Arabidopsis thaliana: one gene and its partners. The protein of the gene in region 3 purifies or fractionates together with the protein of the main gene of each other region. This does not show direct contact. Each region holds a gene or a part of one and is shown on either strand. Other genes may lie near its edges. The genes, in order: AT5G40810, AT3G27240 and MPPalpha.

Evidence for each region.
Region 1: the proteins of MPPalpha (region 3) and AT5G40810 fractionate together in Arabidopsis thaliana (co-fractionation; one large-scale study listed by BioGRID). This does not show direct contact.
Region 2: the proteins of MPPalpha (region 3) and AT3G27240 fractionate together in Arabidopsis thaliana (co-fractionation; one large-scale study listed by BioGRID). This does not show direct contact.

The regions. Positions count from the first base shown.
Region 1 is NC_003076.8:16,337,714-16,343,783, forward strand, and holds AT5G40810 (Cytochrome C1 family), read left to right. Parts: upstream 1-2,149; 5' UTR 2,150-2,289; intron 2,290-2,457; 5' UTR 2,458-2,486; coding exon 2,487-2,546; exon of another isoform or gene 2,547-2,875; coding exon 2,876-3,087; intron 3,088-3,195; coding exon 3,196-3,475; intron 3,476-3,557; coding exon 3,558-3,629; intron 3,630-3,719; coding exon 3,720-3,836; intron 3,837-3,956; coding exon 3,957-4,022; intron 4,023-4,497; coding exon 4,498-4,614; 3' UTR 4,615-5,214; downstream 5,215-6,070. UniProt on the Arabidopsis thaliana protein: Component of the ubiquinol-cytochrome c oxidoreductase, a multisubunit transmembrane complex that is part of the mitochondrial electron transport chain which drives oxidative phosphorylation.
Region 2 is NC_003074.8:10,055,027-10,061,108, forward strand, and holds AT3G27240 (Cytochrome C1 family), read right to left. Parts: upstream 3,748-6,082; 5' UTR 3,585-3,747; intron 3,374-3,584; 5' UTR 3,345-3,373; coding exon 3,285-3,344; intron 2,944-3,284; coding exon 2,732-2,943; intron 2,335-2,731; coding exon 2,055-2,334; intron 1,968-2,054; coding exon 1,896-1,967; intron 1,816-1,895; coding exon 1,699-1,815; intron 1,599-1,698; coding exon 1,533-1,598; intron 1,235-1,532; coding exon 1,118-1,234; 3' UTR 704-1,117; downstream 1-703. Other genes in the region: AT3G27230 (S-adenosyl-L-methionine-dependent methyltransferases superfamily protein), read left to right, coding at 1-430. UniProt on the Arabidopsis thaliana protein: Component of the ubiquinol-cytochrome c oxidoreductase, a multisubunit transmembrane complex that is part of the mitochondrial electron transport chain which drives oxidative phosphorylation.
Region 3 is NC_003074.8:5,597,922-5,604,018, reverse strand, and holds MPPalpha (mitochondrial processing peptidase alpha subunit), read right to left. Parts: upstream 4,310-6,097; 5' UTR 4,114-4,309; coding exon 4,075-4,113; intron 3,786-4,074; coding exon 3,552-3,785; intron 3,470-3,551; coding exon 3,173-3,469; intron 3,087-3,172; coding exon 2,919-3,086; intron 2,808-2,918; coding exon 2,640-2,807; intron 2,551-2,639; coding exon 2,473-2,550; intron 2,400-2,472; coding exon 2,333-2,399; intron 2,212-2,332; coding exon 2,114-2,211; intron 2,025-2,113; coding exon 1,955-2,024; intron 1,866-1,954; coding exon 1,795-1,865; intron 1,710-1,794; coding exon 1,660-1,709; intron 1,567-1,659; coding exon 1,454-1,566; intron 1,350-1,453; coding exon 1,303-1,349; 3' UTR 992-1,302; downstream 1-991. Other genes in the region: IQD26 (IQ-domain 26), read left to right, coding at 1-57.

The DNA of each region.
Region 1 (6,070 bases), on a different chromosome or scaffold from region 3:
TCTATTTATGGAAGTGTAAAGCAATGACCCATAAGGTCTTCTCATTGTCCTATGGTCGGATCTATGTACTTATGTAGCTCCGGTTCTAGGGATGTGCTCTCATTCTATAGCTAAAGTCATCTTGGTGTGGTTTTGGGTGTGTTAATCATTTAGGTTCGGTTAGAACATTTCACGGAATAAACCTATCATTTGCATTTGATATCTATGAAAAACATTTCACGGAATAAACCTATCATACGTATCTTTCATTACCTTTACATAATACATCACACAAAAGCATAAGTATTCTTTCACCTTGTCATTTTTTTTTGGGATAAATTCTATCGGTAAAAACATACTGAAATACGCTAGAGTGGATTCTTTTCACTTGTCATAAAACCCAATAAAAATCATATTTATTATTTTATTATTATTTAAGTTCGTTTCTTAACATAATACATTACCACTATCTAATACCTCATATAAAATTAGATTTAAAATCCTATAAACACACACTAAATTCTGAAAGAAATAATGTTAGGTTGTTTAATTTCTTTTTTTTGTTTGTCAAATCAGATATATTGATATAAAACAAGGTTACAAAATATATAAACATTATAATACAATTATTATACGCAAATACAAAAATTTGATACAATTTTGATAAAGGAGTGAAAGTAACCCGACATTACAAGCAAATAGGCGTTGGTCATGATACATAAATATTTTTTAATTATAAGAAAATTACTATTATTTTAAAATCACAAATTTTAAACTGTATATTTTCTTAATTAGGCACTGATGAACAATTCGTGATACAATGTGGAAACATGTCTCAAATCGAAACCCTTATTTGATATGTTATTAAGATACCTGCTGGGGAGGTGCCTCATCCCAAAATAAACTAAATTAATTAACATTCATTTAGGTAGAAAAATTACTATAATGACATACTTAATCATATAATTATACTTTTCCTTCATACCACCAATAAAAGCAGATCGCTATCTAGCTCTTAGACAAGATAATAGCATAGCTTTTAATTTTGATAAAGCTGAATGGTCCTTGTAGATAAAGTTAAGAGAAGAATATGTTTTTTTTTTTACAAAGGCTTGTTTTCATTCATTCACATAAAAACAAGTACAAGAAGGAGTGATTCAAAGATCACAAAGTTTAAAACATAATTAAAGGAGGTATTCCCCAAAGCCAAAACATAATAGAGGCATTTCTCTAAGACACGAAAGGAAATGCATAGCATTCAAACCGACTCATATTAAATCATCTCTCATAAATGAAAAACTACTTCCACTTGAGACACTAAAGGACTCACCAATCAACATATTAAGAAAGTTACTGTTTCGTGGCTTGAAAATATGTAGAAAAGCTTCCAGGACGATGTCTCATTCATTAATTTTCTGATGATTCCAAATTCGTTTTCCGAACCACAACTTATGATTGCAAAAACCTAATGATTCGGCTTGAGTTGAGTCATGATGAGAATTTCTCCTGCTTAATTAAAATTCTGTTTTTAGGTATAAGAGATTCTATTCAGCAAAGATATTCAAGATGAGTAACAGATATTAAACATACCATGAACATTCACAAACCTGTGGGAATTAATATATGAACTTACCTAGCAAAAGCGAACATGTAATTTCTCATTTACATTTTCCCGTACTATGTAAAATTGAAACACATTTTCAAGTTTAAGGAAGATTATAATTTTGGAGTCGATGTAGTATCCCGAGAGCATACGAAACATATGTTGTATTTTCAAATTTGCGCCTCTCGATATTGAACTACAATAATGCATGTTAGATTCAAAGCAGCCTCGCTTTGGACCCTATAAAATGAGTTAATGCAAGCCATAATAATTTATCGATCGACATATTTACTAAACAAGCCAGAATGTGATCTCGATCTCAGCCTGTGTTAATCTTTTTGTAATTGAACATTCTGGACTAATGAACTCTTCACTATTGAAAAAAACAACAACACATAGATCATTTACACAAAGTCTCCCTTTACTAAATTTCAAGATTTGGTCCATTTATTCCAATGAGAAATATTCCAGATATTTTTTTTGGCTGTTGACTGTACGGATAGGCCCTTAATGGGCTTTTAATGGATTAAATTAGGCCCATGATACTTGAAAAATCTGAAAGGTGTTGTTGTGTTGTGTGTGACAGTCCAGTCGCGTCATCCGGAGACATCCATTTTCTCTGGTAGCTGTTTACTTCTTCTTCTTCTTCTTCTTCTTCTTCCTCCTCCTCTGTTCGTCAATCGCCGATCTCGTTGCTTCATTTTCCTGTGAGTATTTTCTCGATTCGACACATCTCATATCCGAATCTGCCATTTCTTCATTCAATTTTGTTTATTTGTTGGAACTTCGGATCTATATAGAGAATCGAGTTTTCTAGGGCTTACTCATTGTTTCGGGTATATGTAATGGCTGAGAATCTTCTCTGTTTGTATCAGTGAGATCGATTGGTACAAGTGTTCATCCAATGGTTGGAGGAGGAGTTATCCGGCAGCTTCTTAGAAGGAAACTTCATTCCCAATCAGTCGTGAGCTTTTTCCCTGTTACATCTTTTTGATTTTCTGCTGTAGCTTAGGATCTGTTTGAAGATAGAATCATATGATTTGTTTTGGTTCTGTCTACACCTTCATTGCTCTGAGAGATTGTCCTTGAAGAATTGTAACTGGAATTGTTGTGGCGTTGGAGATTTTGGGATATAAGAAACTTAGACTTATTGATTTGTGCTTCGAGAGTATGATTAATATTCGATTTCTTTTCAGAAAAAGTAGTCTTTTGATTTGTTGAGCATACACCTTCTTGTGTCTTGGCCTTTTTTTTTGTTTTCTTACTGTTGTTCTGTATTATCTACCACCATAGGCAACTCCGGTATTGTCATGGTTGTCTTCGAAGAAAGCGAATGAAGATGCTGGGTCTGCTGGTTTAAGAGCATTTGCTCTCATGGGTGCTGGTATTACCGGATTATTGAGTTTTTCTACTGTTGCATCTGCTGATGAGGCTGAACATGGTCTGGAGTGTCCTAACTACCCTTGGCCACATGAGGGCATTCTCAGCTCATATGACCATGCTTCGTGAGTGTTCAAGCTACAATTCAATCATCATAGTGAAATTGCAACACTAAAGTTGAAAATTAGAGAAATTTGAGACTGCTTTACTGACGGTTGATTTGTAATGAGCAGGATCCGTCGTGGTCACCAAGTTTATCAGCAAGTTTGTGCGTCTTGCCATTCGATGTCTCTGATCTCATACCGAGACTTGGTGGGTGTTGCCTACACAGAGGAAGAGGCGAAGGCCATGGCAGCTGAAATCGAGGTTGTTGATGGACCAAATGATGAGGGTGAGATGTTCACCCGACCTGGTAAACTCAGTGATCGGCTTCCTGAACCATACTCAAATGAATCGGCTGCTAGGTTCGCCAATGGAGGAGCGTATCCACCGGATCTAAGTCTTGTAACTAAGGTTTGGTGCTCTTTCTCTCCATTTGTATACAATTAGAAAATTCATCTACTATGATCTAAGCAATTTGGCTATTTTCTTCCAGGCACGTCACAATGGCCAAAATTATGTCTTTGCTCTGTTGACTGGTTATCGTGATCCTCCTGCTGGAATTTCGGTAAATTTCTCTCCTATTTTTGCTTTAGACTTGTTATTACAACTTCAAATTGTTGGAAGTTAGAAATAATCCTGTGACTAACGGGTACAGATCAGAGAGGGGCTACACTACAATCCTTATTTCCCTGGTGGAGCAATCGCTATGCCAAAAATGCTCAACGATGAAGCTGTGGAATATGAAGATGGAACTCCTGCAACAGAAGCACAGGTTAGTTTTCCTCTGCTTAAGAAAATAATTTGCAGACCATAAAGTTTTATCAGATTTGACCTTTCCTCTGAGTCAATTATATAATCTTTAATTTTTCTTTTTTTAAAAAACATGATGCAGATGGGTAAAGATGTTGTATCCTTCTTGTCCTGGGCAGCTGAACCAGAGATGGAAGAGAGGAAATTGGTAAGTTTCTTAGTTTCATATATTCCATGTTTTAAGCTGTCGTTTCCATATGTACGAGATTGCAATAGGAATATCAATCTGGATTCTGATTATTTGATTTTCAGATTCAGTTTGAGAAAATTGTTACCAAACTTAAACCGGCATAGTATAGATTGGTTTTGGATGTAGAAAAAGTATCGCCATTTTATCCGTGTTAAGATTTCCTTGGTTCTGTCTTCTGTATAGCGGGATGAACACACCTAGTTGCATAGTTGTGTTGAACACACCTAGTTGCATAGTTGTGTTGACCACACTACTGCTTGTTTCTTGAGGCTGCTAATCTCAGACCAAAACTATTATCAAACATGAACCGTATTGTTACTCTGTATTCAAAACCGTCATGTTGGTTCTAAACCGACCCAAAAAAACCCGCTATACCGAGAATCCAACTCTTTGTGCTTAGATATCTGTTAACGTTGGTTGTATGTGTGTGCAGATGGGGTTCAAATGGATATTCTTACTGTCTTTGGCTCTGCTTCAAGCTGCGTATTACAGGAGACTGAAATGGTCAGTACTCAAATCCCGTAAGCTTGTTCTCGACGTTGTTAACTAATCCCGTGAAGATCACCTTTTCTCTGGGTAATAATCATTAATCTTGAAAGGGATAAATGGTGAATCCCACTTTTTGTCTCAAAAGACATGTTTCTTTGTTTATTGTTTAGAAAGTCTAATGAGGCAAAGAAGTAAAGCTTTTTTAACCTCAAGTCACACATGATTTTGAGATTATATTATTTCTTTTTGGTTTGTTGTCTCCTAAACCGGACTCGGTTTGTCTTAATAAAAATGTGGTTTTACAATCTCTCTCCTATTTGTATATCACAAAACATGATTTTGTAACTATTAAAGTTAAAAAGTTAAAATCTGTGGTCTATTTCTGATAGACCAAAACTCCACAGAACAACCAATTTACCTCTGTTGCGAACTCGATTTTGTAAAACTTAGAAAAATGTAGGCAGGATTTAGACCCGTTAATGTAAAACCAGTTCCGTTAAGACATTACCAAACAAAATTGCACAATCCTACAGACAATGAAACAAACATGCAGGATCGGACAAAACCTCAAAATACAAGTCCACACTTTTAATTGTCCCTTGGAATCAATATTTATAAAAATGTAATGAGCTCAAATTTTTATAACCTATGAAAAGATCAAAATCTTGATTAAAAAGAAGAAAAAAACCAATCAAATCCTGGCAGGCTTCTGCAGAACAGCCGAGAGAAAAACCTCAGCATCAGTTTTCTCTCCAACAACCCATTTCAACTTCTTATACCCAAACCTCTCTATCAAACGCGTAAGAACTCTCTTCTTCTCATCATTACCGCAATAGAAATTGTCTAACTAGAACAATCCACCGGGTTTCAAGATCCGATCAAGATCAAACATCAAGAACTCTAGCTTCTCGGGTTTACTACTAACCGCTAAATCCAATCCGTTAGAAGCATGAATGAGATCAAAAACATTGTCATAGAACGGGAATCTCTAATCCAAACTCCCTCTGAACAACGGAAAAATCCCTCTTGTAGCTATGAATTCGCTGAAAGGAGCATCTATATTTAATGTAATACCGATAATATTCAGATTCTTTTCAGCCATTCTAGCAGCAAACGTGCCTGATCCGCTGCTAATATCGAATCCGATTCGGATTTTCCCATCGCCTAAACCCAAACATCATCTATCAGGAAATCAGTCTTCACTTTAACCTTAACAAACCTATCTTTCTCATGACCAGAGCTAGATCAAAGCAACCAACAAAATCCCGGCTCAGTTAAGACCTTTCAAGCATTCAAAACTTTTGCAGCCAAGACCGCTCCAGTTAACACTATTGTTACTGACCGTTCTCCACAAAGAATCATGAAACAGTGCGAGACCTGGCTTATGTACTGTTTTAGCTTCAACTTCTACAGGAAGTTTGTGCACAAGGAGCCTATGATACAAGTAACATCTGCATGTCAAAAAGATTTGTAGCCACCCATGTTTTCATAGGATAGTGTTATCTGCATGTCAACTT
Region 2 (6,082 bases), 4.5 Mb from region 3:
CGGTGGATCAGGGACTTTCGCAGCGAGAATGGCTGAGAAGAACGTGACTGTAATCACTAACACTTTGAATAATGGTGCTCCGTTTAGTGAGTTTATAGCTGCGAGAGGGCTCTTTCCGTTGTTCTTGAGCTTAGACCATAGATTTCCTTTTCTTGACAATGTGTTTGATCTTATTCATGCTTCTAGCGGATTAGATGTTGAGGGTAAAGCGGAGAAGCTAGAGTTCTTGATGTTCGATCTTGATCGGGTTTTGAAACCCCGTGGATTGTTCTGGTTGGATAACTTCTATTGTGCTAATGATGAGAAGAAGAAAGAACTTACACGTATGATTGAGAGGTTTGGGTATAAGAAGCTTAAATGGGTTATTGGAGAGAAGGCTGATGCACAAGTTTATCTCTCAGCTGTTCTGCAAAAGCCAGTGAGAGCTTGATCGGGAATGCAAAAGGAAGTTCGTAATGGTAAGACCGACCATAAGAGTAAAACTCTCTATTTATAGTTACATTTGATCATAGGTTATAAATTTGGAGGTCATTAGGTGATATTTATTCCAGAGAAGAAGAATAAGCAATTATATATTTACCAGGGCAATTGGAGAAAATCATTTGTAAAAGTTTTTCAGTATAATGTGTTGAAATTTTGTCGATTATTATTACTACTTTTCTGTTATAATATCCATATATACCATACAAATAAAAATGAGTACCATTAATTGTGTTTTTGTTATACCTGAAATAAATTCTCCTCATGCAACCAAAGCCAGATGCAAGAAATGCCGAAAATAGACAACAAAATCAGAGTACAAAGTTATTTTTTATTGAGACAAGAGGAAAAACATAACAAATGATATAATCTCAAAATCATGTGTGATTATTATGAGGCGAAAAAAACAAGTTTTCGTGATTATCCTCATAAAACTCTCTAGTAATAATCGAAGGAAAAAGAAGAACGATGAGGTCTTTTCACCTTCAGGTGAGAACTGGTCTCATCAAAGATTTTTATGACACATAAAAATGATGATACGTTATTACCCAGAGAAAGGCTCTTCTCTATTTAACATCCTTTGTTGAAAATACGACTGTGTGTGGCCAGGCCAATGCAAAAGCTTTTCAGCGGCGCTTTAGTTAACCACGTCAAGAACCAGCTTGCGGGACTTGAGAACCGACCATTTTAGTCGCCTGTAGTAAGCAGCTTGGAGAAGAGCGAGAGAGAGTAGGAATATCCATTTGAAACCCATCTGCAAATAGTGAAACCAACATTAACCGCCATGTAAAATGTAACCTCAAAAAAAAGTCAATTCTTTGTATCGGTCTGGAAGCTGAGGTTTGTGTCTGCAAAACGAGTCAAACTGTGTTCACAGCATATCTAAATGTTATTATCTTAGTAGCAGACCAAGAACTAGTAGCACTTCACACTTGGTACAACAATTGGTTCTCTAAGTCAACTTGATCGATCATAAACTAAATCTAGTATTAATTGCATAGTCTAGGGAGAAAATACAATGTTCACCAGCGAACAGAGAAAGATAAACCTACCAGTTTCCTCTCTTCCATTTCTGGTTCAGCTGCCCAGGCCAAGAATGATACAATATCTTTACCCATCTGCACCGTAAAGTAAAGTTTATATCATGACACTGAGAAAGGACAGTACCATAAGGCATAAAGATTTATGTTCTTATATTTTAAGTGGAGGAAAAATAACCTGTGCCTCTGTGGCGGGGACACCATCTTCATACTCAACAGCTTCATCATTGAGCATTTTCGGCATAGCAATTGCTCCCCCAGGGAAATAAGGATTGTAGTGTAACCCCTCTCTAATCTGTACAGTTATCATCGGATTTTTCATAACCAGCACTTTGAATTCGAAGAAGTTCAATGTGGAAAATGAGAGAAACTTACCGATATGCCAGCAGGGGGATCACGGTAACCAGTCAGAAGCGCAAAGACATAGTTTGGACCATTGTGACGTGCCTGGAAGGCAGAACATTAAAACTATTTAAAACACAAAACACAAGTTTGCTACAGATGTTCAGTTAAAGTAAAGTAGCAGCAGCAGACCTTAGTTATAAGACTTAGATCAGGAGGATACGCTCCACCATTAGCAAACCTTGCAGCTGATTCATTTGCATATGGCTGAGGAAACCGGTCACTGAGTTTACCAGGGCGGGTGAACATCTCACCCTCATCATTAGGTCCATCTACTACCTCGATTTCAGCTGCCATTGCCTTTGCCTCTTCCTCTGTGTAGGCGACACCCACCAAGTCTCGGTATGAGATCAGAGACATTGAATGGCATGATGCACAGACTTGCTGATAAACTTGATGCCCACGACGGATCCTGCTCATACAACATCAACCTTTCAATAATTCATACAGTACAAAAATTTCACTGAAGTTTCACAGTCTAATATTAGGGTAGCAGGATAGTCACTTTCTTTAGGTTTAGACATGACTTCGGTGATCTTGAATCGTTTTATTAAAAAAAGGCAGCAACAAGCCCCTTATTTTATGTATGATTTCTTTTCCTTCTATACAAAGACTCATACAAACGCTTGATTCACGCATGATAGACTTTTTGATTCAAAGAAATTTACAATTCTAAGAAAATTTCCTTTTTCATTGAAAAATTGCTTGAAAGGACGTTAACTTATAAAAGCAAAAAAAAATCTATAAGAAAATGATAAAATGATGCTATTAACCAGACAAGAAGATGAGAGAGTGGTGACAATACTCACGAAGCATGGTCATATGAGCTAAGAATGCCATCATGAGGCCAAGGGTACTCTGGACTCTCCAATCCATGTTCAGCCTCATCAGCAGATGCTACTGTAGAAAAACTCAACAGTCCTGTAACACCAGCACCCAACAAGGCAAGTGCTCTTACACCAGAAGAACCAGCATCCTCATGAGCTTTCTTCGAAGAAAACCAAGACAAAACCGGAGTTGCCTGCAGGATAACACAAAACCAATGCTCAGTCAAAACTTCGCCGCAAACCAACTCAGTTATATGCTAACCAAATGGACTTTCAAAAGATTGCTGCATTCTACTATTCTACTAGGATTTGACATTGAAGCAGAAGCTATACATAAATCATTGTCTCCTGTCTTATGTTCCAAAAAATGAAAAATTTCACAAAGAAATCATTAGCTAATGAGCATCAGTGTCACAAAACACAAATCTTTAACCACAGAACCGAAAAAAATGTCTTAAAAACAGATCCCAAGCTGAAATCGTAAATCAAAATAGAAATGAAGAGAATGTAAAATTAAGACTGGAAAAAATCTCACAAGTGATTGGGAGTGAAGCTTCCTCCTAAGAATTTGCTGGATAACTCCTCCTCCAACCATTTGATTAAACCTTTGTACCAATCAACACGCTGAAGAAACAAAGAAATTGAATCAGAATACTGATTCAGTGAAAATGCGATTTCACAACACGTATACGAATAAACAAAAGCGAACAAGCCCTAGAAAATTTGAGTCTACACAGATCCGACGAATATAGATAACTCTGATCAATCAAATGTCAAAGAAGAAAACGAAGGTTTCGAATACGAGATATACAGAGAAATAGAGAGAGAATCTCACCGGAAAATGAAGAAACGAGATCGGCGACGGAGACGATCGAGGGAGAAGAGTTTGGGAACGAACAAGTAAAAGAGAGAAAATGGGAGTTCCACGATGACACAGCGGCTGCTAGACACACGACCACAGTTTTACTTATTTGGGCCTTAATGGGCCAACAACGTACTGCTTGAGCCCAGAAAATGTCGAAGTAGATAACACTTGAAAAGTTTAAAAGCTTGGTGGATCTTTATTATCTTTGAGAAGAAAAATCTTCCGAATGCAACGTAAAACATATGACTTTAGGATCATACATCACCAGAAGTAGACTTGGTTGGATTTTAAAAAATCAATATGGAGATAATTAAAAAAATGTTTGAATTATCATACTAGTGACAATGTTTGTACTTCAAACTGGCTTAATGGTCTAATCATTTCATATTATATATATAAACAAACAGTGAAAATTTGAAAACACGATTTTGCTTTAAAAAAAGTTTTGGCAATCACAACTTTTGAAACTTCTTAGGAGGAAGCTTCACTTCTAATCACTTGTGCTATTAATATATGATCTTGATAATGAGATGTTAATTACAACTGTGGATAATTTTTGATCTAAGGACCATTAATCATTCTGATGTGATATGCGTGATTAGCTGGAATAATCACATTTTACTATCAAGTGGAATCATACTTAAGTTAAGTAACTTAACCATCGACCGAGTCAGAAACTATGCTTCATCTACTAAACATATGTCTCGCATATCCGACAAAAAGTCAGAGAGAAATTTTAAAAAGAACAAACAAGCAATCTACCACAATCACAAAGGAAAATAATACTAAGACTCACGGTCAAATGGCCCTTAACTGCGGGAACCAAGCTTTGTACTCTCTTTTTCCCAAAACATCGAACTTCAGCGAGAAAAAATCCCTGGAACACTTTATGTACCACAAGACCTAGAAATACTTGTTTTAAACTATGTTTTCAACAATATTTCAACAATTTGGAATAAATTAAAGCATCACCAGCAGCCTCCAAAGGTTTGGATATTTTTACGGTTTATATATTTTTACTTGAAGTACCCAAAAAGAAACCAAAATACTCAAAGAACCGAACCTTACCTTCATCCTTGGTCCCCCATTCTTCTCTTCATATGACAACAACACAAGTTAGTAAGTTACATACCAAAAAGTGACAACAAAGAGAGATTATAAACTGGAGAGCTAACTTGCTCGCTTAATTTGTAACACAAAACAAAGAAAGAAGACTAACTGAACTGAAAAACATTCGGTTTCCTTATGGATGCTAAAAAGCTAAAAACGAATAACCCAAAACCCGAAGAATTGAACCGAACCGAATGTGTATCAGTGTATGCCTAGTTACTAATCCTGTTTTGTTACTAGAAAAAAACCTTTTGTTATGTGGCATCCATCTGGACTATATTAACAAAAGTTGTTGTGAAAATATAGATTAAAAAAAACTATTCAAAACACCTAAACAAAATTATAATTCAACGCAGTATTAATTACTCCATGCAGACGCAGTCTTTTTTTTTTGATAAAATCTATTAAAAAATAAAAACTCTACTCGTTTCAGTTTTTGCTTGTTTTATTTAACAATTAATTAATACATTAGTCTTTTTCTTTTTTTTAACAACTATATTATGTCTGCAAATATCATTAGATCGCTAACATTTCTTATTCGTTTACTCACATATATCGGCATGCTAATGATGCGCATAATTCCTTCTTCTTTTTTCGTGCTCAACGTAGACATGCATATGTAAGTATGAATGTTTGATGAGTCATGACATAACAGCTTTTCAAGTGAGAAATGGAGGACACATAGTGCAATTTGATTGGTCGGAGATTACGAGGACCAATAAGAGCCTTCGAATAAGGTGAAACAGCATATTGTGTGTTTACGTAGGACCCATGCGTTCATATAATATAAAAATCTCAACTAAAAATAAAAGAAAATTGGGGAAATAAACATACCATTTAACTTATCATATGGACCTATGTGTATGCATCTATGTGGGTAAAGATATATTCACATTGCTTCTATTCAACAACGTGTGTGTTTCTTCGCCTATAGTTGCCGGCCGTCAAAATTTAATACTGTATATTATGTGTTGGACCATACATTTTGCTAATCAACAAAAAATATTTTTAAAGTTAATTAAGTGACCATAATTTTATATTTACTCTTGTTGAGTCCATCCATGCTCTTGCTAATCTAATAGTTCCTGGTCATCGTATTATAAACTTATAATCCGGATTATCCGTAATTTTTGTATGGCATATGCAAGGTAAAAAAAACAATTAATGCTTTCGTTGTTTAAATTAAATGTACGTGGATGTTGATTTAAATTCAAAACGATTGTTCTATCCCTTCCATTCTATATTTTTTTTTGTTTGTAGTCATAATAGTTTTGTGTATGGTATTAAAAACAATGCAATGCAACATACATACAATCGATGGATGTGGTTATATAAAATCCTTAGAAAATATTCTTCTA
Region 3 (6,097 bases):
TGTTCGTATGATCATCAGTTTCGTCAGAACGAGACTGATTTTAGATTCTATAATTAGTAAAAAACGTTATTTTCGTCCTTAAAGAAAATATCGTCATAGCCTTTGACTTTTCATTTATGACTTTCCTTTTTTTTTTTTTTTTGTAAATTATTGCTTTGCTTTGGAAAAAATGTGAAATTTGCTTCTTTTCCTCTTCATGTGGAATGCTTTTTGTCGATTACGCATAAGAGAAGTAAGAAACTTATCCATATTTCAAAATTATAATGTTCTTCAATAGTAAGAGATTACTTGAATTTAGATATTGGTTATGAAGAATTTGAAATTCAAAGATGCGAGTAATCGAGGGAAGATATTATTAATAAGTAACTATGATGACGAAATGAGGTTGAAATTTGCAATAAATTTGGAATCCATGTAGCGTCAGACAAGTACGACATGACGTTATCATTATCGTGATTTTTCAAAATCTTTTTGTAATGTTTCTATATCTAATCATTTTTAAAAACCACCAGGGAATATGATTGGTTCATGCCGATACGTGTTTACGTCATCATATTCGTTCTTCTGAAAGTAGAAATAATTAAAATACACATCAACTGCTTTTGATAAGCTCTAATTTACCTCGTAATCCGCCAAAAAGATTCCCTAATAGCCTTTTTAATTAAGGTTTTCTGTGATTAAACACCTTCATCATAGGCTGTCAAAAAAAAAATAACACCTTCATTTTAGACTTTAGGAGTGTGTATGTAAATTATGCTTTCACATTTCGAAATAACTATGGTAAATTGATCTAATTCTAGTAGTAATTTATTGTGGATCTATCTTATATCTGGTTGAGAGTTTAAGATACTTTTAAGGCAATTATTTGTCTGATGGAGTCGTTTCTATTATTTAGATCCATTTATTCAATAATCCTTTTATTAACAAAATATTAAAGCATTTAAGAGTTCATAAAATTAATAATTTGGAAAATATTTTATGTAGTAGTAGACTTCTATCTATCTTTAATGCCTATGTTTGCCAGCATTCTTTAACAAGAAAGAAATTTAAAAATTGAAGCTGAAAAAAGTTGGTAAACGTATCAATCATTATTCACTAACCGAAGAGAAGAAATACGCAACAACGAAATTGGAGACATGGGCGTAATTTGTCACCATTTTCATGGACTTATCTTAGGTCAGAAACTTGAGAGATAGATGAAACAAAAAATTTGGTTGGATCTCCAAAAAAAAGGCTATCTTTATTCTACAGGTCCCAACTCTATCTTATGATGTAAAAAGATCTTTTTTACTTCTTCACTCTTCAGCGAAATCTTTTGCTTACGGAGTCATAGCTTGGAACATTCAACACTGTCCCAAAATCAACACAAGATTTTAGAATAAGTAAAATGGATTTAAGTTTGCAATGCCGTTTTATAAAAGATGTAAAACTGTGATGATGGTTTTGTCATTACCGTCTCCGAAAGTTGCCATTGTCAAAGGCTTTGTGATAACCTTGCTAGTGAAATCTGCAATGTCCTTTAAGGTAAGTTGGTCTACTGTCTTCAAGAATTGGTCTACTGGTTTCCTGCAGATATGTTGGGAAAACAAAAAAAAAAACAGTTAGAGAAAAGTCTGGTTATAATCAGTTTAGAAGTGGAATGTTACAAAGTGTATGTACCTCTCTCCGTAAGTAAGAATCTGTCTACCAATGTCTTCTGCTGCAATCATCTGCAAATCACACAAACAGTTAAATTCCATTATAAAGTCACCCTCATGGCTTAAGAAAAAGAGGTGGAACTTTTAAGTGACCTACCCGAGATTCCAGATTCATCAGAATCGCAGATTTTGTTGCTGCTTTGGCGCGATCAAGATGTTTCTGATTAACTGCCAAAGCATGTACACCAGAGTAAATAATATGTCTGTATGAGTTGATAAATGGTTCTAAAAAAGAATGGATGAAATATATAGAAAACCTTTTCCATCAGCAACAGCGTTCATTTCACTAGCTACTAATTCAATTCCCTGTGAAGCAAATTCAGGACTCTGCAACGCCAAAAGAATGTAAGCAAACCCACATTGCAAAGTGCTAAAAACCGTTAATAAGCAACAACTAGAAATCGGTGCAAACTCACCGTGCAACCATAGATTCCAAACAATCCGGTATTGTTAAAGACGCTAGTGAATGCAGTGCATGATTGAAACTGCTGATGTTGGTTCAAAAGGCGAAGATCTGCATCCAGACAATAAAGAAACCAATCTCATCATCATCATGACCAACAAATAACTAACTTACATTAAAACATGAGTGTTGAAAAACCGCAAGTAGAAAGAGAACACATTCAGAGACTTACAGAGCCAAGAGTGCATTCCTTTTCCAGGGCCTCCCGCAGAAAATGAGCCACCTCCTCCCATAAGCATCTGATAAGAATTGGATTTTACACAATTAAGTCTTTGCGTTTGAAAGATCAAGTAATGTATTTGAGTCAGGCACCTGAAGAACAGTTGCAATGATAGCTTCCTTCTCGTTATTCCATCCTGGCACTTCAAAAGCAAGCGCAAAATGTGTAGCCTGAGAATGGTGAAACAAAAAAAGAAAGATATTAGGAATAATAAACCTTCTTTTACTCAAAGAAGCCCATTGAAACGTCATATTTGTACCTCTCCACCCGTATGTTGACGGAAATCTCCACCGACATATTGAGACTTTGGCTCCGCAGGTCGGGGTACATTAGGGAGGTCAGATAGTAATGGCTCAACCACTTTTAGAAGTTCTTCATGATCAACTCCACTAGCTGCTAGGACCATTCGTGAAGCAGTGTAATTCTCCTGAAATTTCAGAACAAAATGAGAAAAAAGACACATCTACGAAATAACAAACCAAAAGCCAGTGATACTAGTTCCAGCGAATGCAATAATCTCTTGTGTTAACGGTCTTACAAAAACAAAATTCTCCAAGACCTCCCCAGTCAATCCAGTAATTGCAGATTCAGGTGCATACAATGGATTTGCCAATGCGCCAGAGTAACCAGCAGAATGAACTGCCTCCAAAAGAAAACCCATTGGATTCGTTGCGAATTCTCCTATCTCTACTTTCACCTTTCGGAGCTGCCAGGAGAAAAATGATGAAAACAGTGTAAAAAAATTGCTTAGCTTTAATGTTTGTGAGATACATGCAACATGACATGAAGTACCTCTTCATTCACTTCCCAATCCAAAAAAGCAGGGTTCCTCACACTATCAATAAGCACTTCAACCATTTCGGGAACATAGGTTTTGAGAGCATCAATTGTGTAACCCATCTGCTCTCGGGATGCAGAAGCTGAAGTATTACCTCCAATAGCCTCTATTTCCCTTACAAGGCGAAAATGGCTTCTGTTCAATGTACTCTTGAATGCCATCCTTTCAAGCAAGTGCGTCGCTCCACGGAATTGAGGAGTCTCATAAATAGAACCACAGTCAACGTATAAACCAATGGAAGCTGCTGGATTCTGAACAAAATTTCACTCAAAATCACTTTCCAGTAGTTTTTAACAGGAAGTTGATGTTGGGATTACTAAAAGAAGCTCTCACCGGAGACATCTCAGTGGCTATAGTCAGACCATTTGGAAGAGTAGTGGTCTTAAGTTTGCTAGGCTCAACATGGTCAGAGAGTGGTGGTGGAAGAGAGACACCAGCCAAGGGAATGTTCATAGAAGGAAGTGAACTAGAGTAGCCTCCACTTAGCCAGCTGGAGGAAGAAGAGCTCGTTGCAACAGCACTAGAACTTGCATAACGAGAAGCTCGAAAATTGTGGTTTAGAATGCCCTATAAACACACACACACACACACACATCCTAAGCATCATTAATCTCTTGATTCAATTAACATTGTAAAAATAAGAACTTTCGAAACAGAGACATTTCATAAACCTGCAAAAAGCATGAATAATGGCACCAGCTACTATAAAGCGATAAAATTGAATCAAGATCTATAAGAATCTAAGAGACCCTTTAATCCAAATCCAAAAACAATGAATCATACAAATTGTTCAATACTAAGCATTCTCCTAAAAAAACCAGAATCTCAATGGAAACAAGTGAAGTAGGACATTGACCTTAAGGGCCTTGGCTCGAGAAGCTGCCGTACGGTACATGATGATGACTGCGAAACCCTAGCTTGGTCAGATGAGTACCGGTGAATGTGGCTGACGACGGGAGAGAGATAGAGGCCGAGTCAGAGCTGAAAAGAAACGAGAGAAGGGAACGATTTTTTTTCCTAATTAAGGTTATTGGATCGGGCAATTGCTTCTAATTACATTGATAGGCCCATATGATATAATAGTCTTGGCCCAAATTATAACATATAGAAAAGATGAATTTAAAGCCCATGTATTGTAGTGGTGTGATCCTATTATATTTTCTCTCAATTATATTTTTTTTCTTTTCTTTTTCACGTACCATTGTGTAAAAATTCAAGTAAGGTAACGACATTTACATGCAGTCACAAATGAAACAAGAATTTTTTTGAGGTGTGTGTAAAGTGAAACGAAAAAAGTACTAAGAAAGTTTATCTTCTCTAAGTTAATAGAATTATTTTGAAACGTAGTATCCACATATATAGAAGACTCGTGTGTGGTGCATATATATACTGCATAACTTCAATTGAACTGTATTATATAACTATGACTATCCATCCATGGGAAGATAAGAATGAGAGCCGAATGCTAAAAAGCAAGGGACCCGAATTAAACAAAAATGAATAAAGGAGAAAGGTTTGTGTGATTTTGTCAATTGTCGTCGTTTAGTGGATGTGTAAAAATACTAAATACTATAACAGGTGGTGTGGGTCTATCTTTTTTTTTTTTTGGTCTAATGTTAAATGTGGGTCTATCTTAATAATGCAGAAATAGTGCAATACGATTCATGAGTGGAAAAAATCATATTTGGGTACTCTCATATATAGTCTCATTAATCATTATCACCGAGTGGGGCGTACGATACACTTTTTCTTCTTTATCTGTTTTCATCTAATCATCATACTGTATGTCTATATTATCGTAGCATTCATCATCGAGTTATGAAACTTATGCCAAAAGAAAAGAAAAAAAAATCATTTGAGATTGGTTAAATTTCTATTTTAAGATTTAAACCAAAATGTTTAAAGTTCTATAAGCTCTAATTAAAGTCTCTGCAGTCCATTAAAATGGATAATTAGGATTTGCCGAACTTGAAAGGAGTAATGCACATTTTGATGCTCACGTGAACAACGAGTTGTAACGGTTTCGCTATAATTGGAGGCAGATGAGAAATGGTCGTGTGTGAGTTTTAATACCACGTGATTAACGGAGCCACAATCATATTCATGGGCCATTCTCATGAGCTATAATTTGAGGTGTAGCTGAGAGATGGTCAAATGCCACGAACTTTGAGTATTTCTTTCTTAACTTTGCATTTTTTTAGACGTAAGTTTTTTTTTTCATAGCCTACATTTCTTTGACAACTCATAACCTACATTTTGAGAATTTATAAATGTCAATTTATCATTTAACCTTCTCACGATAATGCAATTCCTATGGTAAATGTCAACTCATAACAGACTCTACGAAGAATCTACGACACTGTGAAAATCTCTAATCCAATATTCAAAAGAGAGTTAAAAAAAAAAAAAAAAAACAGAAGAGAACATCTTTACGATGCTGCTTTCACGATTTTAAAATTTTAGGTGATTTTTTTTGGAATTTTGGAATTCTCTTTACAAATTTTATGTTGTAAGGTAGATTCAATTTTAAAAAAAAAAAGATATTTAGATTAATACAAGTTCCTAAGTCCTAACTAATCAAAGCTTCCATCCCTCGTGAAGCACGAGTTGGTTGAATATAAAGTCTCTCAAAAAGAAAAGAAAAAGTGGTTAGTATTGGCAGAAAAAAAAAGTGGTTAGTATTGGATGAAAAGAGAATTTAATGTTCGTATTCAAAAATGTTTTATATATACTATATAGTATATATACAAAATCCCAAGATTAACTCATTCATATTCCATCTTCATCTCCATTTCTCACACTCAAAGGTGTTTCTTCCTTCCCTTTAATGTACTCCTTTTTTCTTTCTTTCACAAAATCGTTATATTGATTTTTACTAG